Linked DNA regions of Lytechinus pictus. The protein of the gene in region 4 purifies or fractionates together with the protein of the main gene of each other region. This does not show direct contact. Links are inferred from orthologs where the notes say so. Each region holds a gene or a part of one and is shown on either strand. Other genes may lie near its edges. The genes, in order: WD repeat-containing protein 82-like, F-actin-capping protein subunit beta-like, coiled-coil domain-containing protein 85C-A-like and serine/threonine-protein phosphatase PP1-beta catalytic subunit.

Region 1 (7,578 bases), on a different chromosome or scaffold from region 4:
TGACCAGGATATGCATATAATTATTTGGTATGTGAAAATAAGCGAAATTTAGTGCCACAACTTTTTAAATGGAATTACCATTGCTATGCTTTTCTGATCTGTGCTCTAATTAGTAAACTTGTTAGAGTTGAATTTGTGTATCCATCACCCCTTCCTTTATGTAAAGGTGTATTGATGTATAAGCACATGTCGTGCAACATCCATGCTCTTCCAAATTAAAATTTCATAAGAATTCAAATTATATTGTGCCCATTTTTATATACACTGTACTTATAGATATTTCATGGCTGAGCACACGAAGGTCCAACTTTGAAGGCACATTAAAAGTAACAACCTTCTTGTCCTCAAACTTCTATCCAATTTTTCACCCTGAATGTGTGATTGAACAGTATGAGAGGGAGGGAAGGGAATATTTACTCAAAATTTATATAGAGAAAGTTGAAATGAGAAAGGCAAAATGGTAAAGATGCAGCCGGAGAGAAAACAAGAAACAGACGATCAACGAGAAGAGATGGAAAGTAGAGGAAGATCAAAGAGAGAGAGAGAGTGAGAGAAAGGGGGAAATGACGAGGAATGAGAAAAAGGTGAGGAGAGAAAGGCGAGACGAGAGGGAGATAAGAGGGCTTGATATAAGGGAGATGGGGAAATAAAAGAGAGATATAAGGGGGATATATAGAAAGGGAAGGTATAGAGAGGGAGAGATGATAAAGAAGAGGAAAATCAGAGAGAAAGAAGCCAAAGAGAAAGGAAAATTAATAAAGAGGGAGATCGCGATGATATAAAGGGGAGAAATAAGAGAGAGAGGGGCATGAAAGTAGAAATGGAAGAAATAGAAGGGGATGGAGAAAAGGGAGGATAAGAGAGATGGACAGAAGAGGAAAATCAGAGAAAATGAGATGAGATGAATAGTTGAATGAGAAGGGAGGTTTAAAAAAAAAGCTAGAGAAAAGGGACATGATTTCTAATCGTTAAAAGATTTTTTTTTAATGCAACCAGCTTGTAGGCCTTTATTGTTCAGACAAATTGTAGGCCTACTCAGAAAGCAAATTTGTTGTTGGGCCTTTCTTTGTCATAGTGTGCGCGTGAAAAAGGTCGAGTTTTTATGATTTCATGTCTGTATGTTTACTCCCCTTTACATTTTTTTAATAAAAAAATGTGACTAAATCAACATTTTCAGTTATGAAAGTATTCAATAACATATAGTTCATGATGTAACAAAGCAAACTAAAACTTTAAACAGCACAAGGAACACTTTCTTTGCGTTCCTTTCTCCCATCTGCCTTCACGCAGCATTTGTCGACTAGCCAGTATTGACCTAGCAAAATGGCGGCGCGCTCAGTCGAGCGTGAAGTCCGATGCTCTTCGTTGCCGCACGGCTTTGTGTACGTTGGGAATAGGGACACGTATTCCACGTATTTCTAGTTCAGTGGTGACGACTCGCTAAAGGTTCCACGGGCCTAATTACATCAGGAAGGCTAAAGATATTCGTTCGACCCAACCCATTCGAATTTTTGTCAATTTGATATTGCTGATTGTCAAAAATGTATAAATATGATTCAAAATCTAACACTGATTCTAAAAATGGTAACTACTGAACTTCCTTTGCCCAAATTGGGAAGATAAATAAGTGACTTGGAACTATTTTTTGACTGGCGGAATAATTAGGGCTATTTTACTGTTTCAGTTGATGAATTCGATCCATTCATAGTTATCTTCATAAATGGCGATTTATTTTTAAAATGAGCTGGCTACGGTACCCTATCCTGGTCAGATTTGGAATGTCAGATATATAACCTATCCATTGGTAGTAAACATTCCACCCTCTAATTTCACATTTATTTTTTATGAATTTTTCAAAAGTGCCATTTTAACACACAAGTCTATGGGGAATGTTTTACGCGCGTGACACCTGTAAGTAATATGGGAAATCCCTAGTAGTGGATGGTATACCTGGCCAAACTGTTCAGTAGCAAACAATTTCTCATGCACTTATATCAATATGTTTAGTCATCAAGTGGTGCAAAAAAATGGATTTAATGGCTAGCAGGGCTACATCAGGTAAAGTTAGTAGGTCTGGGTAGCCTAGGAATGTATGTAGATTGGTCAATGTATAGAGTCAATGCCTCTTTATGTTCTGATTTATCATTGTTTTGTGTTAGTGTACATCACCTACTTAGCATTAGAAAGACCTTTAGAAATTGCTCATTTTAAAATTGTTCTTAGGAAGGGGGTAGGTAGAGAGGAGGTAGAACTTTGAGAACTTTACTGAAGAGAACTAGAGTGGTACCTTCAAGAAGGAATTCAGAAAGGGCACAGAGTAAGGTAAGGTATCTAATAGTGCTCAACTAAGGATGAGGGGGGGTGGCTGTGTGCTGCAATCTTAGCATAGCCCCCCCCCTCTTTATTAAGCCATGCCATCTATAAAATTATCCTTCTTTCTCTCTCTCTCTCTCTCTCTCTCTCTTTCTATCTATCTATTTATGTATCTCTTCCTTCTTACATTTGAGAGGCAACGTACAGCCCTAGGAAGATTTTGAATAGGTCAAATGCAAGTATACTAAAGTAGTATCTCATTCTTTTATTGTTTCCTCATCAAATCTCATGTATATTTGATATTTGGTATATGTTTGGGGCAGTTCTGGTATCCTGATATCTACACAAAATTTACATACACCTTTATATTAAAATTGATAGGGACCTATATTGTCATTGCATTCACTGTTGGGCTATATGCAGGTAGGATTTGTATACATCCATATATAGTGAAAATAACATGTATGAGTAACACATTAAAATGGGTCATTGCATAGAAAATAGACATTTTCAATGCATTTATTTGTGCTAGTGTGAGTGTACAGATATATAAGAATAGCAAAGTAGCTATTCAAAAAAATAAAATTCATAGGTCCTATAATATAGGTTCCACGGGCCTAATTACATCAGGAAGGCTAAAGATATTCGTTCGACCCAACCCATTCGAATTTTTGTCAATTTGATATTGCTGATTGTCAAAAATGTATAAATATGATTCAAAATCTAACACTGATTCTAAAAATGGTAACTACTGAACTTCCTTTGCCCAAATTGGGAAGATAAATAAGTGACTTGGAACTATTTTTTGACTGGCGGAATAATTAGGGCTATTTTACTGTTTCAGTTGATGAATTCGATCCATTCATAGTTATCTTCATAAATGGCGATTTATTTTTAAAATGAGCTGGCTACGGTACCCTATCCTGGTCAGATTTGGAATGTCAGATATATAACCTATCCATTGGTAGTAAACATTCCACCCTCTAATTTCACATTTATTTTTTATGAATTTTTCAAAAGTGCCATTTTAACGCACAAGTCTATGGGGAATGTTTTACGCGCGTGACACCTAAAAAACGAACGACGATCATATTTTGTTATGTTGCAGACCAACGAACGTAGAGGGCAGCAACACACAAGCGTGTTGCTCTAAGGAAGGTCAACTCCGCTCGAATTTTGTGACCACTTTAAAAAATAAGGTGGGGTTTTGGGAAATTTGTCGAGTTGATTTTTTTTCATTTGCTAATTTCAAATATTTTTTAATGAACAATTATTTAGATCGGTTATTCTGGGTATAAATATTAAAAATATTACTTTTATTTTTAAAGAAAATATTTAGCTTAAATAATCATGATTTTGACATTTGTCCTCATTTTGGAATATTAAGCCTGTGACGAGGATACCTCATATCTCTTATTTTCTTCTGCTGAATTTCGCTGCACCACTAATAAATGCATAGACAACCACCGTAATAATCGAGGTCATTTTTCTGGCCTGGGTGTGCCGAGTCTGGGCCGGTCGCGCAGCTAGCTAGTGACGTTGATGATGCGCTGGGGCTTCAGGCGACTCGTCATAGATCTAGCAACTTAGACAATGACGTCTAATTTGCCTGGCCTGATTTGAAGTGTAATGGCTTCAGGGCTGATGTTTATCAACGATGATTGTTCAAGGTTAGATTTCAAATTTTAAATGTCATTTGACTTTTAAGTCTATAAATCTGAAATAAAGGCGCTGTATCCCCGAAATCCGGGTCTATAATTTCAACTCTGAGTCCGAGACCATGGCATGGACGGCGAAAAAACAACCCATGCATCGGATGCATTGCATTGGCTGCGCGCTGCGCTGCAGCTGCACTGTGATGATGGGTTCAGCGAAGAGCTCAGAGAAAATAAGGTGGTTATATTCAATCCCGAAATGCTTTGCGAGTGGTCACAAAATCGTCTCGACGCAAATCACCTAATACAGCCGTCTGGTGAAATCGCTGATATCAACAATCACCGATTTGGTAATGATTTTAGTTTCCTGAAACTTATATTTGTAAAGTTTTAAATATCAAAGTATGTTTTTATATGTATGTATATTCCTCAACATATTTTTTAAGTTATCTTTGGTATTGTTGTAGTCATATTCTTTCATATTCGTTTTTTGATCGCTACTAATCTGTTGTTGTATTGGATCGGCATTTGATTTCGTTGGCATGAACAATAAAATACGCGCGCAGCTCAGCTGCATGCGCGTATCGAGTTGACCTTCCTTATAGCATGCAACACGCTTGTGTGTTGCTGCCCTCTACGTTCGTTGTTGCAGACGTAGACTAGACGTACACTACATACACTATACAGTACACGCGACGAGTTTAATCCAAGTTTGACGTACATGTATGTAGTGACCGACCAAACCCCGACGATCGATCATAACAGGCAGATTTCAGAAACCCAGCTTAAATTCAACGAACTCAAATCTTGGACTTGAAATTGAATAATCATGAAGTTGTCCGACCAAGTAATGAGAAGCTATCGTGTTGCGAAGCTTTTTAAAGACCAAAACACGGAACGGATCAACAGCATCGACTTCTCACACAACGGAGAAACGCTGATATCGAGCAGTGAAGACGATTCCATCGTAATTTACGATTGTTTAGAGGGAAAGTAAGTGGTGCATGCATGGTGCCGGTGCTGCTTATACCTTGGTCACATTTGCTCTACGGCGGCCTTACGGCGGCCGTAGATACCTGAATTCGAGAGATTTCTGCGGCGGCCGCAGAAAATCTGCGGTGGCCGCAGGGTCGACGTATGGCGGATTCCTACTTTTTACAGGCCGTAGAATTTTAACTCGGAGTTAATATAAGTATAACATTTTTTCTTTTCTACGCTCGCCGTAGAATTCTACTAGAAATTAGACTAGGGTCACTAGCCGTAGGCATGGCGTAGAACGGTCTACGGCGGCCGTACGTCGAGCGTACGGTGGCCGTGAGGCTGCCCTCGTGTTTTTCTTCCCTCCTTTCCCCTTCTCCTTTTGTGTTATCTGCTCGGGAGCCACCAGGTGCGTATTTAGAATTTTGCACCTCGGGGGCCCGACCTAGGCTATAGTATAATTTTGGCCCATATGCATGTGTACTTTTCAGAAAAAAAATGGCGACCCCTCCTCGCCAGGCAAACGGGTGCCTTAAATGCATGTTGAATTATCTTATTTCATAATCACATGAAAAAGGGCAACTGCAGATAATTAACTGCAGACCACTTTTTTAATGATGACTTGATAAAAAGTAGTTTCTATCCTAACCCAGAGAGCTCCCGCCCGCTGCGCGGGCGGGAGCCCAGAAGCTTACCGTGTATTTGACCATATTCACCGGACTAGGGTGATTTATGGTCTAAATATTTCTCCAAATGAATTGTGAAAACAGAAAGTATACAATTACCACGATTATATGGATGAAGGTCTAACGAGTGGCAGTTTCCTGACATCTGGGCACAGACTGGAACCTCAAAAAAACGAAAAGTTCTCTCCTCTTCGATCGGCCATTTTGTTACGATTTTTAACAAAAATGGCCGATCGAAACGGGGGTAGAAGGAGAGAACTTTTCGTTTTTTTGAGGTTCCAGTCTGTGCCCAGATGTCAGGAAACTGCCACTCGTTAGACCTTCATCCATATAATCGTGGTAATTGTATACTTTCTGTTTTCACAATTCATTTGGAGAAATATTTAGACCATAAATCACCCTAGTCCGGTGAATATGGTCAAATACACGGTAAGCTTCTGGGCTCCCGCCCGCGCAGCGGGCGGGAGCTCTCTGGGTTATTTCTATCCATGAATATGATGTAATACCACTTTTTTTAAAGAACAAATGTGACCAGGAAGCACAGATATTGCCCTTTCACCAGCGGCTAACTTGGGTAAAATTATTATTATTATCATTATCATTAGTATTATCATGGGGAGTTAAATGCTGATTTTTGTTGTTTCCTAGGGTGTAATTCTTACTTAAGACTAACGCGTTTATTAACATCTTAACTTTATTCATACAAACAAGTTAACATGGTTAAGGGAGATTTATTTCATAAGTTCAAATAAATAATGCGAACGCGATTTTTGATAGCTTGTGTATAGACCTGGAAATAATATTCTGAGAAGTTTTGTAAGCATGAGCAGGATGGGCATCTCTCTATCTGTCAGGGCGAGCTGAAAATTGTCTATATTCCAAAATGACCCAAAGTTTGGAAATTCTAAGCATTATTGGTAATCATGAACAGGATGGGCACTTAAAAATTATTCGATCCGAGCGCGAAGCACGAGCTGAACCTATTTTATATTCCGTTCCAAATTCTACACAATTTTGGTAATCATTAGGTAATCATTAACAGGATGTCCATCTAACTAATCATTCGATGCGAGCGCGAATCACCCCAAAGGTCGATTTGCCCCCCCCCCCCTTCCTAGGTCGAACATTACCTATCGTATAATATTCAGATCAGTGTCAAACATTAATTTGGCGACCCCCCCCCCGTCCTAGGTCGAACATCAATTTGCCCCCCCCCCCCACTTTTATTACTCCACCTTTTCCCTTTTCTCTTCTTCTTGTTTCCCCGTCCTTTTTTATCTCCCTTTTCTTTCCCTTTCTTTCCTCCCTCTTTTTGGTACCCCCTTTTCGCCTACCCGGGGGCCCGGGCCCTGAACCCCCCTCCCTCCCATCCAGAATACGCGCATGGGCATGGTGCGACACTTTGAAAACTTTCTGAAATGAAATGTCTAATGTAAAATATCATGATGAGTATGACAAGCAATTCATGGTATACTCACTGTATAGTCCCCCTGCGGCCGCCGTGAGGGCGCCTTGCGGCCACCTCGCGTCTGCCGTAGTATTTGTCAAAAACCTACGGCCAGCGCAGGGTCGCCCTAGGGCGACCGTACGTCATGATTTCAAGGACATACGTCAGCCGCTGATTTTTTCTCCATAAATTAAAAAATATGCCGTGCGGCGACTGTAACATATGTGACCGCTAGAGTAAGTGGCCGTGGAAATTCTGAGGCGACCGTAGAATTGCTACTCGCCGTAGAAATTTTAGAATCTACGGCGGCCGTAGCAAATGTGACCAAGGTATTACCTCGAGCGAAGTTCGTGCAGGCTCCACTCCACTTCACTACCGCTACACTGACTAAGTCTACGGCTACGCTCCACCTACCCGAACTTCGGGACCGTGAACCTGATCTGATATTCCGAGTGACAAAGGTGGGGTAAAAAAGTTATTTATTGTAAAAATTATAGAA
Region 2 (7,085 bases), on a different chromosome or scaffold from region 4:
CAAAGTTCATTGACCCTAAATGACCTTTGACCTTGATCATGTGACCTGAAACTTGCACAGGATGTTCAGTAATACTTGATTACTATTATGTCCAAGTTTCATGAATCAGATCCATAAACTTTCAAAGTTATGATGGTAATTCAACAGATACCCCCAATTTGGCCAAAGTTCATTGACCCTAAATGACCTTTGACCTTGGTCATGTGACGTGAAACTCATGCAGGATGTTCAGTGATACTTGATTAACCTTATGTATAAGTTTCATGAACTAGGTCCATATATTTTCTAAGTTATGATGACATTTCAAAAACTTAACCTTAGGTTAAGATTTTGATGTTGATTCCCCCAACATGGTCTAAGTTCATTGACCCTAAATGACCTTTGACCTTGGTCATGTGACATGAAACTCAGGCAGGATGTTCAGTAATACTTGATTAACCTTATGGCCAAGTTTCATGAACTAGGTCCATATACTTTCTAAGTTATGCTGTCATTTCAAAAACTTAACCTCAGGTTAAGATTTGGTGTTGACGCCGCCGCCGCCGTCGCCGTCGGAAAAGCGGCGCCTATAGTCTCACTCTGCTATGCAGGTGAGACAAAAACTTCAGAGTATAAGCTTTAAAAGGACATACAATATGTTATATTTAGGCAAAGATTTAATTTTGGCTTCAGAGGGGACAATAGCTTGGACCTGCCCCTATAAACTTCTCTGAGATAATACAAAATTTTTGAAAGAGAAAAAAATTACTCAGAAGGTGAAAAAACAAAAATTCCTTTCTAACTTCACCAGGCTTGTTGCACATGTGTTGTCTGTAATATGGTGGATGGCTGTCAATAATAGCAATAAATTGAGGGCAGTATTGCATAAATTTATTTAACTTAGGCGTTAAAGAAAATTATAATGCTTCAACTTACCCCGCGTTCCAAATAACCCCGCTCTCCCCTAATAATTAAAATCGGCATTTGCACAGCTAAAATATATTATTTTATCAACAATTAAGCAATTATTTTGGGGTCTAGAGTGTGATTTAAATCGCCAAATTGATCGCGGCGCACAACTCTACGCGTCCGATATTTGGAAACTGCGTCCGATTTTCTGCAAAAAAAAGCCTCTGGTAGTAAGTAAATAATTTCCGTTTTTCGGTTTACCATAATTTTTTCGATTCTATTTTTTATGAAATTGATATTCAACATTTGTCCTACAGATATAAACATGATTTTTATTTGATTCAATGATTGTATTTTTGTTTTGGTCCAATTATGCTTAACTTAAGTGTCCGATATTTGGGCACTTTAGGCCTACTTACTAGTATAACGTTAGAATCTGTGTTCTTAATGAACATGATGAGTTACACTAGAGGCGCATCGCCAATATGGGAGACTGTCTCCCAAGAGAGAGATTATCTCCAATATCAGAGACTTTTGTAAATAATTTGGGTATCCAATTTCAGAGACAATCTCCAGTTTGGGAGACCAATTTTCTTTGTTTACATTTGCTGCAAAAGGTTTACCTCGGCGGCAAATAAAAATGTGATTGGCAGATTCCTCATGAAAAAATTACCCCTTTTCACCGTCTACTTTAAAAATTCACCGTCTACTTTTGTTTTGATAAGGATTTTTGTTGTCATCCACACACAAAACAAATGGGCTTCTGACCCACCCAAGGGTTCATTACATGCCGCCGCGCACAGAAAATTCAAGCCATAGAAGTCGTGTGTTGTGGACCCAAGAAGTGAGATCCCAGCACGCGCGACCCACTAGTTAGAAATCCACTGCCAAACGCGGTTCGTGGTGCGAGGTTAGTATACTAATACTAACCTCGCAATACGTGTGAGTGCTTCTGACCTAAGTGAGACAAAATTTTGGGTGGAAAAAATAACGCTTTTGTTGGTGTTGTTTCTTTTGTTCTTTTGCAAAGCAAGTCTCCAATATGGGAGATTGTCTCCCCTATCGGAGAGTCTCCCATATTGGCCGTGCGCCTCTACTGAGTTAAGACTTAAGTATCACTCCTCTCATAACATGCATATTAACGTGCATTCAAATCTAGTCTAATTTCATCTTCGAGATAGCAGATGAATGCTGTTTCATTTTTTTTTTGTCCTAGAATAGATCTTCTGTCATGACATTTGTCAATGATTATCAAATATATCACTTAGGCCTAGTTAATTAGCAGTATCACTATCTTATTATCAGATTCAGAAATACTGTCTTTTATTAAAAGACAGTAGGCCTATTTCTGAATCTGAAAAAGTTTTAATTTTACTGATTACTTTTTAGTTTCGTTTTTTTTTGGTCCTACCTAACATAAATAATGGTATCAAAGTATATTTGGGAGAATATACTCTTTCAGGCCATACATAATAATCATATTTTCATGAAATATTTTTCCTTAAATTGGGAATTTGTGAAGTGTCACTGTCATTTTTTTTTTACTCAGGTATGTTACCCGGTAGTCTCACCTCACCCTACAAATTTGTCAACGTGTGGGACTGACTTTACAGTAGCGACTCCAAATAACCAGCGACAAAATAACAGTTATTTCATACAATCACAAAGAACCATGGAAATAAATAAGATAAATATATTACAAGGAGTTTAAGCTTCACTTACCATCTTTTTTGTTGAATTTAGGCTCTCAGAAATAGATTATGACTCTTTGTTTTTGTTACGGTCGCCGCTCTCTTCCGTGTGAACCCTCCCAAAATGGCAGAATAAGTACATCCGGGCTTTTCAAATAGGGACGCCCTCCCAGTGGTTTTCCTTATTTGGCAAAAATACCAAAGGCCTTTGCATGAATATTCAAGACGAAACTCTACATCAGTTTTCATTGTCTTATAGAGTTTTCATTAATTTCAGACTATTTCTTCATATCTATAACAAACCATCAGCTAATAATTAATGATCAATCAAATTAAGGAAATTCCTTCAGCTATTGATGGAGAATCCCGGGAGAGAGTGAACGAATTATTTCTTATCACCCTCATTCTACCACGCATTCTACACCCGGAAGTGTTTGGCTAGAATTTATAAATCAGATAAAAATCTGTGTATACTTGATTACACCGAACGTAAATTCCCCTTATCTTCATTTAATTACCATAGTATATTAAGATAGTACCATGTAGTGATTAAGGAAATTCCACAGTTAAAATGAAATCCATATCATTTTCACCAAACTTTGCACATAATAGTGGCATAAGAAGACAAAATCCAAATCCTGTCTTGGAGAGTTGACTCGGCCAGACGGCACAACTGTGGATGATGACTTTGATAAAGCTGAGGTGTTAAATGACTTTTTTGCATCAATATTTACGCAAGAAGATACCAGTAATCTTCCTCCATTTCTTGATAGACCCTTTGACTCTACACTTAATGATATTGTCATTACAAGAGATATGGTTTTGGAAAGATTATTGATGCTGGACAAAACTAAGTCTCCAGGGCCGGACGAGATTCCAAATCGGATATTGAAAGAACTTGCAGATGAACTAGCCCAACCTCTTGCCGATCTCTTCAATGAATCCTTGAGGAGTGGTTCTGTTCCTGTAGCATGGAAGATGGCGAATGTAACTCCATTATTCAAAAGAGGAGATAAACGTAATCCCAACAATTATAGACCAGTGAGTTTAACAAGTACAATTGGCAAAGTTATGGAGCAGATTATTCGTGAAAATATTATTAATCACATGGTTACAAACCAGCTGTATAGCTCACATCAACATGGATTCAGAAAAGGCAAATCATGTGCTACTCAACTTCTGGAAGTTATTGAGGAATGGACTAAGGATTTGGATAAAGGAAAATCAATTGACTGTATATATTTGGACTACAAAAAAGCATTTGATAGCGTCCCCCATCGAAGACTTCTGCTTAAGCTTCATTCATATGGAATCAGAGGTAGTGTCTTGAATTGGATCAGATCCTTCTTAAAGAACAGAGAGCAACGGGTGGTTGTTAATGGAGTTTTCTCAAATTCTGTTAGAGTCAGTAGTGGAATTCCCCAAGGGAGTGTTATCGGTCCGGAGCTATTTCTGATTTTCATAAATGATTTACCAGATGTCCTAGCTTCTCAAGCAAGTGTTATCAAGTTATTTGCTGACGATACCAAATTATTTGCTGAAGTTAACAACGATCAAGAATGGGAAATCCTTCAAGCTGATTTACTGAGGATTCAAAGTTGGGCAATCTTATGGCAACTTCCCTTCAATACAGGAAAATGTAAAGTCCTTCACTATGGCAGAAAGAACCTGCACTATGACTATAAGTTAAGTTTGGATGGCCCGACCATCGAAGTCAGCCACAGTGAAAAGGACTTGGGTGTCATTTTCGACGATCAGCTAAGTTTTTCTCAACACATAGATCAGATAGCAAAAGCAGGAAATAAGAAGATGGGGATCATCAAGAGATCTTTCTCATTCCTTGAACCTAAGAGCTTCAAACTACTTTATAAGTCCATAGTTCGACCTGCTTTGGAGTATTGTTCACAGATTTGGCATCCATACTTGAAGAAGGATCAGGAGAAACTCGAGAGAGTTCAACGAAGAGCTACAAAAGCAGTTCCAAGTTTACAGGTCAAAAGCTACCCGGAAAGATTGGCCCAATTGAAGTTACCTTCATTATCTTACCGACGTCACAGAGCAGATCTTGTCCAAGTATTCCGAATAACTCAAGGAACTGACGATCTAGAGACTTCTAAATTCTTCAAATTCAATGAAGACTCCAGAACTAGAGGACATATATATAAGATTGAGAAACCCAGAGCAAATACTCGAAAAAGACAAAATTCTTTCTCACACCGAGTAGTATCAGAGTGGAACAACCTGCCAAATCAAGTTGTGAAGAGTACTTCCATAAACTCTTTCAAATCAAACTTAGAGAAATCTTGGAACCTCAAAAAGGAAAAGTTTAACCCTGACCAATCCTTTACTTGCCCATGTTCCCATTAATAACGTTACCTGCTGAAACCACACATCGCCATATAACCTGTACCAGTTTATCTTCCACTATAATGACTTCATGAAATCATAGAAATTGGAAGGAGGAGAGGGGCAAACAAGTTTTTTAGGTAAAACTTTACGCCCACAACAAGGTATGTTACAAGGTATGTTATATAATAAGCCAAAGTGCAAAGATGTACGTGATTATGTAATTATATATTAGACCCCCGATTAGACCTGAAAACAAGGGATCACAATGTTGATTTATTTCACCGTAAAAACACATGCAAATTCAATCAGATTTTTCAAGAATGAGAGCCGATTCTGCTGAAGATGTAGTTACTATCTATGCTAGCGATGAGCCGATGAGGTCCCCGGTTTTGGAGTTATAGCAGGATGCAAATTCACCCCCGAACACTGTCTCCTGCAAGAAATTAACGAAAAATAATTATTAATTATTTTGAAATGGGCCACCAGACTATCACCCTATGTAGTGATGTCGGCTGATATCCTATTACTGGAGAATAAATAAGGGGCGGACTTTGTGCGTTCTTCCCCAAAAAAGATCCGACCAAGCAAAAAAAGGAAAAGGAGAGAGAAAGGGAAATGATAAAGAGTGAATATTATTTTTTCGATTATAGGTCAAAATTTATCACAAAACGATATCATCTTGTCAACAGGCAATATATTTTTCGTCCGGCGCTAGAAAAAGATTTGACTAATTGCACCACTGTGGTATATCATTTTAGTTTTCTTTAATGAATCCATGTACTTCCAAAAACTCTTCAATTCGTATGATAGATAGCCATTATATGCCTCGGTGTTATTCAGTTAACGTTGAATGAAATTAATATGATAGGTATGGAGATTCAAGCCAACTCGAGGTGTATAAATAGCTAAACGTTTTATAGACCCAGTGGCGTAGCTAGGATTTTTTTCCTGGGGGGCACAGGGGTCCATGCTTTTTAATGGGGGAACATTTTTTTTCATCTGTGTGTATGTGTCACAGGGGCGGATCCAGCTTTCGACACTAGGGAGTGGGGCCTGATATTATTTTCACCCATATTTTCCCCGATCGGCCGCTCAAAGTGGATTTTTGCTTGTTTGAATTTCGGGGGTAGTTTAGTCACAGTTCCTTCTTACGGGCTTCTTAGCTTTGAAAACAACATAAATATGAAATAATCTCATAAGCCCTATATAAAAAAGTGATTTTTTTTTTTTAACTTTCATGTATTTTGTCCTTCAAATTTAACCTTCTGGGCCATGTTTGTGATCTTGAACAAGATGCGTGAAATGATTACTGCGAGCAGAAATTTTAAATTACCGTTCTGGCCTGATAAGAACTGTTTGCAGTTAGCCACAAAGACGATACATATTTCAGCAATTAAATAATGCGAGCGCGACGCTCGAGCTGACAATTTTTGATATTCCGACCTAAAAAAGGTCATTCTAAGCAATTGTAATCATAAAAGGAATAGGTATGTAACTAAACAATTGGTGCGATTCAGATTTTAGACCTGAGAAAACGGGACACTCTATTCATGTTTTGTAAATCATGAATAGGGTTGGGCATCTTCCTAATAATGCGAGCATGAAGCGCGAGCAGAAAATTATTGATATTCTGTTCTGAAACTTGATAAGTTAAGAACGTTTTATATAAAGAACAAGCTGCCTATCTCAATAAACATGCGTGCGCGTGATTTAGATTTAGCCCTAGAATCTGAGCATCGATCTGAATACATTTTTTTATCATGAAGATTAATAATGCGAGCACGAAGCGCGAGATGGAAACATTCGATATTCCGATCTGAAAAAGAGTCAATTTAAAAACTATTTCAAGCACTGTGTAGGGAAATTTTGAAGTGGATGTGAAACACACTTAATAAACATGCGAGCGCGAAGCACGAGCTGATATTTTTTATTATCATTTTGACATAGGGCCGGGACATTCTAAGGACATTTTGTCATCATAATGAAAATGATGCTTATCTTCCTATTATTCCTAAGCGCGAGATGAAACTTGTCGATATTCCATTCTGAAAAGGGGCCAATTTATTTATTAGGAATTTATGAAAATATTATTTACTCATTTATTAATCTAATATGCTTAATGAGAGCGTGGAATTTGTTGATGAATTATCATTAAGG
Region 3 (7,715 bases), about 3.8 Mb from region 4:
ATTTAATCAGTGAGATACATATCTGTTTAATGAAACAGTCCTTAAAATGCTTCTATTACGTCAGTACCTGGCAATTGAGCGCGCTTCGCCAGCCCAGTAAATGACTCAAAATTTTTGCTGGTGCCCCCCCCCCCCCAATGCCGTGACCCACGGTACGCCACTGGTACTCGACATCATCAGAGAATGACTGGAACTGGTCATGACCAATTGGGAATTCAATTTCAAACAAGAAATTTTATCAACCCGACCAGTTTACTATAACATTTATCTGAAAAATATTATTCTTTTATCTCTTAACCATAGTGATAATATATATAATGAAAATAATGACAATGATGATGATGATGATAATAATGAAATAATAATAATCATAATAACGATGATAATAACATAATAACAAAATAACATAATAACATAATAACAAAATAACATAATAACGATGATAAGGAGGCGCGATAGCTCAGTAGGAGGCGCGATAGCTCAGTAGGAGGCGCGATAGCTCAGTCGGTAGAGCGGGGGTTTCGGATTCCGGTGACCCGGGTTCGATTCCCAAGTGGTGCGCTAGTGCCCTTTGGTAAGGCATTTATCCTCATTACCAGGTCCCTCGGAGAGGACCTTAAGCCGTTGGTCCCCTGGTTGCTTGCTCACAGGCATTCGTGCTTTCTTAGCAGTCAGGTAAAACAACCTCGGTATAACCTCGGTATAACATAACCTCGATAATGAAATATTACTACTACAAATATTAATACTTACAACGATAATATTTAAAAACCACAATGATTTTAGCGATAATGATAATTATATAATAATAGTAAATAATAGTGATGATAATTTTATCTTTAAAAACCAGCAAGCGCTACGCGCTCGCGTTATATGATTACCGAGGTAGAGTGTACGTATCCTTTTCATGAATTCAAATAAGGAGCAGATCGTATAATATCGAAAGCAATATCGATATCACATTCGTGATTGTTGACGCCCTCTCCGTTCGTTTGTAAATATTTCATAGTTTGGCTGCCATATTGACCTTTTTTATCGTGTTCAACCCAATTAAACATCGGTAAAGTATAATTTTTCATGCCTTTTCATCTATATCGTTTAAAGTATTTTGTTAACAAAATATCCAGTTTTAAAAGTTTGTTGGTTATATGATGGGGGGACCTAAAGCTACGCACTTTGTTTCCAAATGATAAAAACTATGCCAATTGTAATATTTGAACAATTATTTTTCACTAATTTGTAATAAATATTCTAAATATCCTTAACCAAGAAGAAAATATCACAAAACTCACTAATACGAAAATCCCGCCGTGTTTTCCGAACACCTCTTAATTTCGCCGCCCGATGTAGAAGGGGTCCTAAAGCTACGCTCTCAATTTATCATGCAAAGAAATAGTATTTCCTGTGCCTCAATTTCTAAAATATGTCCGTATTATTATAGGAAAATATGAAATCAAAGTGAATATAACTCCGAAATTCCAAACATTTGCTGGTTTTCTCTGCATTCGAGGATTTATTGCAGCCTCTGTAGAAAAATTGAATAGGGATCGTTCGTCACAGCTTCACACACAGAGCTAGAGTGCGCATTTATTTTGCCATTGGAATTGCATGCGCGATGAGTGGTGCGTAGCTTTAGGACCCGCGTAGCTTTAGGACCCCCAACCATACATCCTTAGATTGTAAATTCGATGTGTAAAATTACATCAAACTTTGGACTGTGAATTGACAAAAGGGTGGGAATGAGAACACATGCGAGCCAACACGTATACCCTACCGTCGGTTAATGGGGATTATAGTAAAATGTCAGAAATTGTTGAATAAATCCCCAGAAACGACGGTTATTCCTGTCTAACATTTCATTTGCTCTAAGACTACGTCTACGACGGCCGTACGGCGAGTCGAAAACAGCCGTTTTAATTCATTTTTAATCAAACCACCTAGGGCTAGGCCTATGTAGTTGGTACAAAAAAAATTTAAACGGCTGTTTTCGACTCGCCGTAGGCATAGTCCGTAGAGCAACTGTGAGTGTGACCGAGGTATCACTCTAAGCTCAGACTCAGTCCATTCAAAGTCTCGGCTCACGGCACGCTCTCGCTTGGCCTAACAAAATAAGGCACAGCTCACCGCACCGGCCCGGCAGCCAAGACGACGAAGACTCTCGATCTCTGTCACTCTGTCTCTGGTCTGAGGCGACCGGCGACGCGATGCTAGCCTTTACCAGCGCAAACCAAGGCACTGCCACTGCAACTGGGCCCAACTCGAACCCGGCCGAGGCGAAGGCGAAGTCAGAAACGATTTTGAAAAGCGTACAGCCGCTACGTAACTGTAATCCAATTCATCAGTGGAATTGAATAATAATAACAAACATAATTACAAGCACATATTTGACGATAGGAAATAATGGAATACTCACATAGGTAGCCCTCAAGTTGAAATGCATTCAATTGCCGATAATTTGCTGCTCTCCTCCATCATAGTACACACGTCAAATTTGTAGTAAACATGGCCGCATCATGACCTCTGACCTCAATCATTTAACAGAACCTGCTGTCCTCTCATTCCAATATACTCCCTCTGCTAGCATTAAATAATTTAGATTATTGTTAGAAGAACTGGGTTTTCAAAGACATAATTTTGGAATTTAAATTTTGATGTGATATTTTCATTTTCATTAAATCAATTTTTGCATTTATTTAAGTTAAAAAAGATAAAAAGGGGATTACATACCAGCGGAAGAATATGTACAGTTGTAAGAAGTAATGCTCGAAGTTTTTTGGAAGGCATGATATACTAGTATATATATATATATATAGGAATGGGGGGGGGGGGGGGTCTTCCCCCAAAACCGCAAAACCGGAATTGATAACGTTCGGCGCGTGGTACATTCCTCTCCACTGATGAATTACATGTATGTTATTATTATGTTTCGCGCTTTCTATGAAAACCACTGATCGAAAACACCATCCATGGACATCGCAGGTCCATTATGGGACACGCACTTGCATGGCCACGCCCATCAGTTCCCCTTCTTATATATATCATCGATAGCCCTGTTAAACCAAGCTCCATGGTTAAACGGATGGTCCAGGCTGGAGATATTTATATCTCAATCCCATAAAAAGAGTACAATTTACAAAACAAAATGCTGAAAATTTGATCAAAATCGGATAACAAATAACGAAGTTAATGAATTTTAAATATTTGCATAATTCATGTGAAACAGATCTAGGCATGTCTTTATGAATATTCATTAGGTGGGCTGATGATGTCATATCCCCACTTGTTCTTTTGTATTTTATTATATGAAATTAGGTTTATGAAAAACTTTTCTACCAAGAACCAATTGATTGATAACTGATTAAGTGCATTAGTTATTTATTGCCGCAACTTATTTCATCATAATGGAGACACATCATGTACACATGTATGAAATAATGAAACATTTATGATTTCATGTAATAACATATAAGGAAAGTGGGGATGTGACATCATCAGCCCATCTAATGAATATTCATGACGATGTGCATATAACTGTTTTCATAACATATTGATAAACTTCAAAATTCAATAACTTTGTTATTTGTTATCCGATTTCAATGAAATTTTCAGCATTTTGCTCTGTGAATTTTACTCTATTTATTCAGATATAAATATTTTCAGCCCGGACCATCCCTTTAAACACACCTTCAGATTTCATGCATATTACTCTTTGATCAAATGTTCTTGTCAGACATAGCAGCGTGCGAATCAAACTGGATTCCAACCCTTCCAAGTCCTTACGGCATGGGCGAAAATCCCAGGGGGGACGCGTCCCCCTACCCAAAATAGTAGGGGGGCACAATATCAAATGTCCCCCTACTATTTTGGTCTTTTATGATGGAAAGAAATACATCATTAAAAATCGAAATAAAACATGTATTTTGGACGAGATGACCTTACTTTTGGGGTGATAACTTTTTTTTTTTTTGCTTGTCAAATTTCTTTGGGTCGAAATTACCTTACATTTGGGGCGATAACCATTTTTTTTTTCTTGTCAAATTTCCAGTCCCTGGTCCCCCTACATTTGGGGAGAGATTTCCGCCCTTGCCTTACGGGAGGAAGAGGAGGATATGGCGCGCCATTAACCCATAAAGGTGAAAAACTCAGTTTCTCACCGATAAACTCATTTTTTCGCCGATAAACTCAGTTTATCAAGAAAAGCTCAGTTTGGGGGTTTTCAAATGAGAAACATAATTTTTCATTGAATAAACTTAGTTTTTCGTTTATTAAACAAGTTTTTTCCGATAAACTTAGTTTTTCATTTGATAAAACAGAGTTTCGCGAGGCTATGCTTCGACTGAAATAAAACAGAGTTCTTGATCAACTGAGTTTTTCAAGTGATAAACTGAGTTTATTAGCGAAAAGCTAAGTTTATTGGCGAAAAATCAAATTCGAAAAACTTAATTAGTTTATTAAATTTGATAAATTGATTTTTTTTCGATAATCTGAGTTTTTCAATTTCGATAATCAGAGTTATTCATTATGGCCGTTGTGCGGGCCGTTGTGCAGTCAGTGATCTGCAGGGGTATAGTGGGTATGATTAAAAAAGGGATCGTTGTCATGGAGTCCGAGGGGGCTGGAAGCCGGGGGTGAGAGGGGTGGAAGAGGGGAATCTTGCACCCCTGCAAATAAAGTTTGGGTTGGTAAACATGTTTTGGGGGATGGGTGTAAGTGGGTTCTAAAAAAGGTGGATCCTTGTCATTGAGGTCAAGGGCGCTGGAAGCGAGGGGCAGAGGGGGGGGGGGGGGAGCTTGCTCCATCCCAGCAATAAATTTTGGGGTTGCGCAATTAGTTTTTGCCCCCTTCCCTAGATGCTTTGTGCGATTTTCTTTGTCCTGGGGCCTGGAGGGGGCAAGAGGCATAAAGATTTTAGAAGAATTTTGAAAAGGAGGGAGCGAATTAAGTAATCGAGCTTGTCATGGGGCACTTTTGCATTTTCTAAGTTGAAATTGAAGGAGTTCGTGGCACTTTTGGTGAATTTTTTGTAAGGTTTTTCTTAATGTCTGGGGAGATCTGCCCCCTTGGCTGAGTACAGCAATAACCTAATGTGTCCCCTTGAAGTTAAAAATGAAAAGAATCAACAATGAAGGAACTTTTGTCTATAAAGTGTCATGCAGTTTCATAACTGAGAAATTTATCGCCTCTTTAGCTCCCTTTGTCACACATGTCATAATAAAATTCTTCTCCAGCGTGCCCATGTGCCCCAATTATACATAAATGCCATTATTTACTTCTGATAAACTCATTGTCTTTTTTTCTTTTCTCGTTAGTTCAAAACTTTCAGTCTGTTAAGTAAGACAATTGCAATTATTTTGAGCCCTTTCGTTTTAGGAGCAGCAGAATTACCGGATGGTGGCGGGTGGGGTGGTATTTTCATTAGGTCCAATGCCAATTCGTCCAATTGCCAACTCGTCTGCTATCATTTGGTCTACCATCAGTTCGTCCGATATCCATTTAGTATAACTGCCATTTCGTCTAATAACCAGTTGGTCCAATAGCCATTTAGTCCATTTACCAGTTGGTCTAATTAGATTAAGTGTTAATTGGGTAAAATTAATGAGACGATAGACGAACTGGCAATTAGACGAAGTGACGATCGGACCAAATGGTTATTGGACCAAATGGTTGGTAGACGAAACGTTGATGGACGGAACGGCGTTAGACTAAATGAAGGTATATATAGACCATGTGGTGAGTGGACGAGTTGGCAGTGGACGAATTGGCAATTTACCGGGGGGCACGTGATTGCCCCAAGTAATTCCCATAGGATTTGCATTTACATTGAATATAATGATAAGTGATAGTGCTCCTTGGGGGCGAAAATTTCTCAATTTTTTAGTTATGAAATTGTGCCTTCATTTGTTTTTTTATGATTAATTATTTTCTGATTTTAAGGGGCACATGCGGGGCATGGCCGCACGCAGCAGGAGAGGGACAGTTACCCCCAAACATTTTGAAAACTTACATTTTTTTTCACTGAATATTTTCATAAAATTATCCCAAATTGTGCACGAAATCCGTTAATTTCACTCTGGAAAAAATTATGTATAAGCGTGACAAGCTGGCTACTTTGCTTACTCGCTTTCAAGTTTCTTCTAACATCTGTATGCATATACCCCAAGACAAAATCCTGTGTCACACCCCCATTTTTTTTTTTTGGGGGGGGGGGCAATTAAGTGCCCCCTCTTACCCCACTTCCAGTCCCCTTGGACCCAATGCCATTGATCCCCCTTTTTAAATCCCTTTATCTTTACCCTCCCCCCAATAAAATCGTTTTGCCAAACCCCAAAATTTTATTGTGGGAAGCAAGTGCCCCCTCTGCTCCCCCTGCTTTCAGTGCCCTTCGACCTAAAGACAATGATCACCCTATTTTAAAACCCTTACCCATACTCCCCCGCCATAGGTATGTGGCTGCACAACCGATATATTAATGGTGAATAACTGTTCGTGATTATCAAAATGGAAAAAAAATGAGTTTTTCGAAATCGAAAAATTTAAGTTTTTCAAATTCGATGAACTGAGTTTTTCAAATCGAAAAACTTAGTTTATTGAATTTGAAGAACTTATTTTTTCGCTTGATAAATATTTTATAAAATAACTCTGTTTTTCAAGTGAAAACTCAGTTTATCACGCGATAAAGTAGGGTTTTCTCGATAAACTTAGTTTTTCGATCGAAAAACTTAGTTTATCAGTGAAAAACTGAGTTTATCGTCGATAAACTGCATGAGAAGAAGAAGAAAAAGAAGAAGGAGGAGGGAGGACTTCGACTTTTGCAGCGCGGCCAGATAAAATGAGGTGTGACGAGCGGGAGGGCGCAATTTCTATAAGGGAAATTGCAATATCAACCAATATGCAATGCTGTTTCGAATAAAAAAAAAAAACCTAAGAAAGCTAGGAAGAAGAACTGGGAAGAAGAAGAAGAGGGAGAAGAAGGATAAGGAGGAGGAGGAGAAGAAGAAGAAGAAGAAAAAGAGTATATACTACGTACTGTTATATATTTTTTTCTGGTTGTTGTTTGTTTTTAAACAATGTGTTGTTTTATTACTGCCAATGTCTTTTCTGGTAATGGCAGGAGCGATCCTCACATTACATGGTTTTTTTCACTTATCCTTGATTTAAAATTTATACTGTATGTCTCAGTGAGCTTCGTTCCTGAACAATACATGCTTTTTTATTATCAATTATTTTATTGTTGTTAAAATTGTTTTTTATGATTGTTTCCAATTATGGTTCATTTGACTTGTCAATATTGTGACTGATTTTGAGATTGATTTTATTTACCAATAAAAACAGAAATGTACAAATTAAAGAAAAGTTCTATTTATCATCCTACAGTTCTCTGCTTGTTTATCAAGGGAGTTTTGGAAGCAAAAAATGCTACTTTTGTGGCAGTTGCCCCCCCCCCGGCCTCCTCCAGTTCTATCGCTCGTCTATAGTCCGTAAACTAATGGTTCAAGTTCCCAGAAGCCCCCACCCCCATCCCTCTCTCTGAGAACCGCACATGTTTGACGGTACAACGATGGCGGCCGCTCCGCATCGGTGACCTCATTTCTGAATAGCTTATCAGCGTGCGACCGCTCATCCAGACATCAGATGGAGGACTTGACTTTTGCATGACCAGATAAAACGAGGTTTGAAGAGCGTGAGGGCACAATTTCTAAAAGCGAAATTGCAAT
Region 4 (7,223 bases):
AAAGTCTCCAATTGAATCGTTTACTCGGACTATATTTATTTAGAGCTGGTAATCAAGTGCTCAATTTCAGTTTAATCAGTGCATGGACCTCACTTTCCATAATAACTGCACATTTTCAGCATAAGTGTTTAACAAGTATTCTTAATCTCAGTATACTATTTTATTTCCTTTTAACGGCCTCTCTAATTTTTCCGCTTGCGACCACTTGGATACATTTTGCTAAGGATTGCAACGGTTACAAAATACGTGAAGGCTTCTTAACGGCAAGTGCCCCTTTTAAGCTAAGAATTAAACAAAAAACAAACAAAAACACTGTATTAACACAAGTGCGCTTGTGTTCCGGCCATTCTAAATGTTAATTTTCCCAAGCCAACTTACTTCATGATGTTCCTTTGTATTTTGTGATATCTATTTTGTCTTTTTACGATCATTTCCCTAATGAATATTCCCGTGTAAATGTTACCCTACTAGTAAGATGGCGATCTTAAAATAAAATTGATTATATCAAAGAGCACGGGCGGATTCTGATTCTGCTTTCGCCAATAGTGAGAGGCGAAAAATATATTCATCCACATTTTCCCTGATCGGCCGCTCACAAAGGTGAGTTTTGTTGGTTAATTTCAAGGGTTAGTCTTCTTGGCTTTATTCTTATAAAATTGATAATTTCATCTCATAAGCCCTAATTAAATAATGCGAGCGCGAAGCCAGAGCTGATTTTTTTTTGTAATTTCATGTTGTTTGTCCTGAAAATTGAACATTCTTTGCAACATGATTGATCAAGAACAATTTTATGAAAGGAAAAATAAAGGAGAGATTTAGACCTAAAAACTGGACACTCTTTTTATATTTTGTAATCATGTAAAAGATGGGTATCTTCCTACATGAATCCCATGAATAAAACGAGCGCGAAGCGCGTGCAGAGCTTTTTAAGTATTCTAATCTGAAAATGGAAAATAAGTAAGCACGTTTTAAACAAAGAGCTAGCCATGCGTGCGCGAAGCGCGAGCTCTGTTTCTTTTCACTTTTTTTCACAAAACATATTTTATCATTGTGAAAAGGAAGAGTACTTCCTAAATCAATAATGCGAGCACATAGCTCAACTTAAATTCTTGATTATCCTATCTGACAAGGGGAAAATTTAAGCACTATGTAGAAAAAATTGTGAAGAGGATATGGATATGGATTGCACTTAATAAATGATGCGAACGCCAAATACGAGCTGATTTTTTTCAATATAATTATTTTGATATATAGGAACGGGATATATATTCAAAGCGCATTTTTGTATCATATTCCTCCTAGTAAGTGCGAGCTCAAAATTGTTGATATTCGGATCTAAAAGGGACAATTTGAGGATTAGGAATTCATGAAAAGGATATAATTATCTCATTTAATATTATAATAGGCGTAATGAGAGCGCAAAGTTTGCCGATATTAATTACAACATGTAAGCACTTTTGTAATGATGAATATGATGGGTTTATAATTTAATGCAAGCGCAAAGCGCAAGCCGAAAGTTTTGATAAACTCTCATTAAAAGGCCGGGATAGAATTCATATAGAAGTACATAACTCACTAACAAAAATACGAGCGCGCAGCGCTGGCTGATAATTTTGGACAATCAGACCTGAAAACAAATATTCTAAAATGAAGTACACAAGAGAATAGGTAGGCCTATTTCACAAATCAAAATTTCGAGCTTGCAGCGCAAGCTAAAAAAATGACATTCTAACCATAACACAAAATATTTTAAGTGCACTTTTTTTTCTAAAATAAATGGGTAAATCAAAGAAAATAATGAGAGCTCGATGTCCGAGCTGAAATATGTTTAAATGTAGGCCCACAGTGACTTCTCTGAACCAGATACTAATATTTGAAGCTCCGTATCAGCCTATTGAGCAAGATATGTCCGAGTCATCGAACAGGTATAAGCGATCATAATTTTTTTTCTTCTAATTTTCTAAGTCTTCCAATCGTCATCATCTTATTCACTTGTCTTCCTCCTCTTATTTTTTTCTCTTCTTTTCATCTTATCTCTTTCCCTTCTATTTCTCTCCCTTTTTTGCACCGCCAATATAGGGGGGGGGGGTTCTTTCGTCCCCCATGGATCCGCCTATGAGAAAGAGGTTTAAAATTGAGATTCCCAGCATAAATCAGTGTCATGGCAGCTCTATAATAGGGCAGTTCCTAGCTACACGGTGGGCATAATCCGCCTCCCCGCCCCCCACATGGTGACGTGTTAAGGCGGCAATCATTTGAATTAGGACGAGTGGAGGGGGGGGGGGGGTACCGACAGTAAAAAGGGCATTACTATGAACTACCAATACAACCTTGTTTACAGGGAAACTAGTGACTGCTAAATGAGGACGGGGGGGGGGGGGCTTGGCGACTTCACATTTTTCCAAAGGCAAGTAACAAAAAACGTTTGAAATACCCCCCACACACACTTTCAGAACGGTGCACGAACCGCGGCCGGCCGCCCCTGCAAAAGAAATCGATTATTCTTAAAAGCCCATCTCTGATCTCGACTAGAAATTAATAATATTTATAAGATAATAATAATAATATCTATAAAATATAGGGCTATATGTTCAATTCATCGGCATAATTTGATGCTCAAGTGAAGTCATTCATAACTATAATGGTAATTCAGTAGCCCATTTGTTTGTGAAATTTGATTGCCTTTTACTCCCGATTTGAAACGTCTAATTTCAGAAATTGAGGGCTGTGTGTGATCAAATTCCTTTATCACCACATTATGCATCTATACAGAGGCGTCAATCCTTGGGGGGGGGGGGGGGGGGCGGCAGGGGGGGGGGGCGATCGCCCCACCAATGAAAATATGGGGGGGACAAACATATCGTTTTGCCCCCCCCCCCCAATAATTCCGCATGTGCAATAATAAAGTAAGATTGTAATGTTACACAGAAATCAGCAAGCGATACACAACTCGTTCTTTATTTAAAATCGTGCTCAAAATGTCCGCTTTTTAGATTGGAATATAAAAATTTTCAGCTCGCACTTCGCGCTCGCATCATTTCTGTAGCAAAAACCCATACTGCTTTTCATGATTAAATAGGTGAATAGAATGTCTCGTTTTCAGTTCTAAACCTCAAAAGAACTCCCGCTCCGATTTGCAATAGCAATAATCTTTTGTTGAATATATGTCTTGTTCTTTATTAAAAAAACTCCATTAAACACAAATTTTTTCAGATCGAAATATCAAAATTTTCAGCTCGCGCTTCACGCTTGCATCTGTTGTTCTTTTAGATACCCATCTTAATCATTAGTACCAAAAATGCTTAGAAAATCAAGCTTTCAGGTCAGAATATAAAGACATTTCAGCTCGCTCTCGGCACTCGCATTATCTGTGTAGTGAAATATGTATCCTCCACATGAGTTACTACAAACAGGTATCTTTTTCCTGCTTTCAGGTCAGTATACTAAAAAATTTCAGCTCGCGCTTTGCGCTCGCAATAATTTGTTGGTGAGATATGTGTCTCTTTCTCATGAGTCATATATATATATATATATATAGGCCTATGTGGGTGTGTGTGTGGGGGGTGAGTTTGTTTGTTTTGATCGAGTGCCTTTGGAACGTTGATTCATGACTTTGCCCCCCCCCCCCCCCAATCTGAAAAATGGATCGACGCCCCTGCATCTATAGGCCTACAGCAAATATCTCTATAAAAAAAAAGGAACTTGGAAAAAAAAGAATCGATTCCGTTTGTTACGGGACGGCAGCCGGGGTTATACATTTTTGTGGTAAATTAGACCTTCATTCAGGGATCGGATGAAAATTAATGTAAACAAAATTACATGTAATCTTCAGAAGACGAGCAAAATAATTGAAAACCGAAGATCACTTAAAAATTGCACAAAGTCGCTAGCCATGACATTATTCCCATCATGGACCTACTCGCATAACTTGGCCGAAGTGTAGCAATCAAAATTTAGGGAAAACCCCCTCTTGAGTAGGTTAAGCGGGCCCATAAGCGGACCGGAACAATACAAGGAAGTACTAAAGGGATGCATGCCCTGGTTTTTATCTCGACTAGGCTTATGAGACATATTCTTATTAAAGAATGTCATTTCATTGAAATTGTCTCTATTTTTCACTCAATAAATTGATAAAACGTATGTCCTGAAATTTGTGACCCTGTACTATGAAGGATGGGGCTCATTTTCCAAATAAGGAAATTCCCGTCCCTATGACGTCATGGTCCTGAAAGTGTATTGCAGGGCAAGTTTGATTTTGTAGAGAATTATTCTGAAAATAATTGGAATTAGATTATATGAAACTATTGTTTAGGTACATAAAATCTTTTTCTGTTGGAATCTATATTTTTCCTTAATTTTAGACTCTCGGCTTTTCTCACAGAACAGCTCGAATCTCCGAGCCGAAACAGAATTCCTCGCTCATCACGTCCGATCATTATAACGTACCGGTACACGGCCTACTAGAACGGTTGGCCTGCCTGGGTTAAAAATCGCCGATCAATAGTTTCTCACCGGCACTTTCTAATCATGGCGGATTTGGAATTGGATATTGACAGCATTCTCACTCGTCTACTGGAAGGTATTACTGTTGACATATTTGTAATGTGTTGTGGGTGATTATTTTGTACATTGTTGCTTTAATGGGTCAAAAATCATGATTTTTTTTCGAACCAGGAAGCGTTTCAGTAAACGCTGCGTGTAATCCGCAGATGCTGTGTGTTGCGTGAATGAGCTCGGTACGGTACCGGTATAGGCCTAGTGCATTCGTGATCAAATGCAAATGACTTCAATCAGCTCCAAAGCAACGTCGGTTCTGTTCATTAATATTTATGAGAGCAAATCGTTGTTCAAGAAAGTGCTTTTTTAGTTGAACACATTTGCACTTGCAAAATTAAATCTGCCATAACTGGTGATGATTGTCAGATGAATGGACATGATGGAGGTGGAATTAAATTTGAGTCAACTGAAAATGAAATCAAAGCTGAATTTACAGAGTTATTTGTAACGTTACAAAGTGTGCATGCGTGTATTCTGGGGGGGGGGGGGGGGAGGCGAGTAGGCGAAAAAGAGGGCGCCAAAAGAGAGGAAAAGAAAATGGAGAGTTAAAAGAAGGGAAAGAAGAGAAAGGGGAAAAAGGGAAAGAAATAGAGAGGGGAAAAAGGGAAGGGGGTGGGTGCCGAATTGATGTTCGGCCTAGGGGGGCGCCAAGTTGATGTTCGACCTACATTGTAGGAATGTAGGGGGCGCTGAATTAATATTTTACTTTAGTGGCGCCAAATTAATAGGACTTAGTGGGGCGGGGAATTGAAATTCGACACTGGTGCCGGATTGATCCTCAACCTGGGGGGGGGGGCAGAGAATTGATGTTCTACCTAGGGGTGCCGATTGGAAGTTGATGTAGGGGCGCCAAATTTATGTTCTACCTAGGCTATGGGTTGCCGAATTGATGTTCGACCTAGGGGTGCCAAATTGATATTCGACCTAGGGGTACTGAATTGAAGTTCAACATAGGGGTGCCAAATTTATGTTCTACTGTACCTAGGGGCACCGAATTGTTACATTTGACATGGGGGGGGGGCACCAAATTGATGTTCAACCAAGGAGGGCGCCGAATTGATGTTTAACCAAGTGGGGCGCTGAATTGAAGTTCGACATACAGGCGCTGAATTGATGTCTGACCTAGGGGCACCAAATTAATGTTTGATATAGGGGGCGCTCGCATCAATTGTTTAGATAGATACCCATCCTATTCATGGTTACAACATGTACTTTAGAACATCCAGTTTTGGTTTTGACTTCGGAAATCGGAATATCAAAAATTTTCACCTCACACTCTGCGCTCGCATAAAGTGATTTGTTAGATACCCACCCTGTTCATGATTACCAATAGTGCATATAATGTGCAGTTTTGGGCGGAAATTCAAAAATTTTCAGCTTGCGCATTGCGCTTGCAAAAATGTTGAGATAGATGCCCATCTTCTTCTTGATTACCAAAAGTGCTTTACTTTCAAACTTTAATAATAATATAATAATTACATGTATGGTTGAAACTACCCCTTATCGACCACCTAATCTTCTAAGCTTCGTATCTGCGAAAATATTCATCAATTTTTACCCAGATTTCGTCTCATTTGTGCAGAAAATTGAGCAGATCAGATTCCTATGTTTCGCTCGGCGACTCTGATTCAATCCGCGTATCGACGAACAACGAATACGACAATTTTACATTTGCTCATTTGCACCCGTCTTTTGAAACCGACCACCCGTGTTACGCTAAGTTTACGGCCGATTCTTGTCGCAGTGGTGAAATATTTTTACTTTTCAAAATCAGTTCTATGATGTCAACATGTTAAATTATCGTCTCAATACTTCCACTGCGAGCTCCGGCACATGATTCGACGATTGACGACGGATATTCGTTCTAAAGCTGTTTCCTATCGGATTTCTTGGTTTTTCAGCGGGGTTTGGGTCTGGTCAATACAATTTTGATTAATTCTACTAAATTTTTACTTTTTGTTTCTTTTTTTCTCGTAAAATCGATTCTTACCGTTTCTACGGACACTGCGCCTACTCTCCCGCGCGTATCGTTTGTAATACGCAATAATTTTAACACGCGCAAGGTGGTCAGTTTCAAAAGAGGTGGTCGATATGTGGTAGTCTCACCATACTTCTTATTAAGCGCTTTTTCAAAAGTTACAAAGCGCTGTACAAATGACAAAACAAATACAATCGGTGAAAACTTAAAACAAAACTACACAAAATGAGATTTAAGCATCTTCTTAAACACATCAATAGAAGAACATTGTCTAAGTTTATGGGGTAATCTATTCCAATATTTGGGGGCAAACACAGAAAATGACCTATCACCTACTAATTTTAATGTTCGGGGGATGTGAAGATGGATATGTGATGATGACCGAGTGTTGTTCATTGCTTGAGGTCAAAATATCAACATTTCTCAACTCGCATTTCGCGCTTGCATTAATTGTTTCTATACGTATACCCATCATGTTCACAGGTACAAAAAGTGCTTAGAATATGTAGATGAAAATATTTTTTGGCCTCCCCCCCATAGTGAAAGCTGGATCCACCACTGGTAAAGAAACGTCAGCTCCTGCCCACATAATTTTAGTAAAATTGAAACCCCAAAGTGCTTAAAATTCTATGCTTTCAGGTGGAGGCATTTCATAAAGCTGTTTGTAAGTTAAGAGCGACTTTAAAGG

The links.
Region 1: the proteins of serine/threonine-protein phosphatase PP1-beta catalytic subunit (region 4) and WD repeat-containing protein 82-like purify together in Homo sapiens (affinity purification with mass spectrometry; 5 studies listed by BioGRID and IntAct, with this or other methods). This does not show direct contact. The link is inferred for Lytechinus pictus from reciprocal best matches to the Homo sapiens genes PPP1CB and WDR82.
Region 2: the proteins of serine/threonine-protein phosphatase PP1-beta catalytic subunit (region 4) and F-actin-capping protein subunit beta-like purify together in Homo sapiens (affinity purification with mass spectrometry; 3 studies listed by BioGRID and IntAct, with this or other methods). This does not show direct contact. The link is inferred for Lytechinus pictus from reciprocal best matches to the Homo sapiens genes PPP1CB and CAPZB.
Region 3: the proteins of serine/threonine-protein phosphatase PP1-beta catalytic subunit (region 4) and coiled-coil domain-containing protein 85C-A-like purify together in Homo sapiens (affinity purification with mass spectrometry; 3 studies listed by BioGRID and IntAct, with this or other methods). This does not show direct contact. The link is inferred for Lytechinus pictus from reciprocal best matches to the Homo sapiens genes PPP1CB and CCDC85C.

Annotation. Positions count from the first base shown.
Region 1 is NC_087247.1:65,194,206-65,201,783, forward strand, and holds the start of WD repeat-containing protein 82-like, read left to right. Parts: upstream 1-4,554; 5' UTR 4,555-4,797; coding exon 4,798-4,961; intron 4,962-7,578. UniProt on the Homo sapiens protein: Regulatory component of the SET1/COMPASS complex implicated in the tethering of this complex to transcriptional start sites of active genes.
Region 2 is NC_087258.1:11,166,503-11,173,587, forward strand, and holds the start of F-actin-capping protein subunit beta-like, read right to left. Parts: upstream 3,002-7,085; 5' UTR 2,614-3,001; coding exon 2,611-2,613; intron 1-2,610. UniProt on the Homo sapiens protein: F-actin-capping proteins bind in a Ca(2+)-independent manner to the fast growing ends of actin filaments (barbed end) thereby blocking the exchange of subunits at these ends.
Region 3 is NC_087251.1:7,709,706-7,717,420, reverse strand, and holds the start of coiled-coil domain-containing protein 85C-A-like, read right to left. Parts: upstream 3,016-7,715; 5' UTR 2,728-3,015; intron 2,578-2,727; 5' UTR 2,414-2,577; intron 1-2,413. UniProt on the Homo sapiens protein: May play a role in cell-cell adhesion and epithelium development through its interaction with proteins of the beta-catenin family. May play an important role in cortical development, especially in the maintenance of radial glia.
Region 4 is NC_087251.1:11,502,841-11,510,063, forward strand, and holds the start of serine/threonine-protein phosphatase PP1-beta catalytic subunit, read left to right. Parts: upstream 1-4,211; 5' UTR 4,212-4,243; intron 4,244-4,381; 5' UTR 4,382-4,527; coding exon 4,528-4,579; intron 4,580-7,223. UniProt on the Homo sapiens protein: Protein phosphatase that associates with over 200 regulatory proteins to form highly specific holoenzymes which dephosphorylate hundreds of biological targets.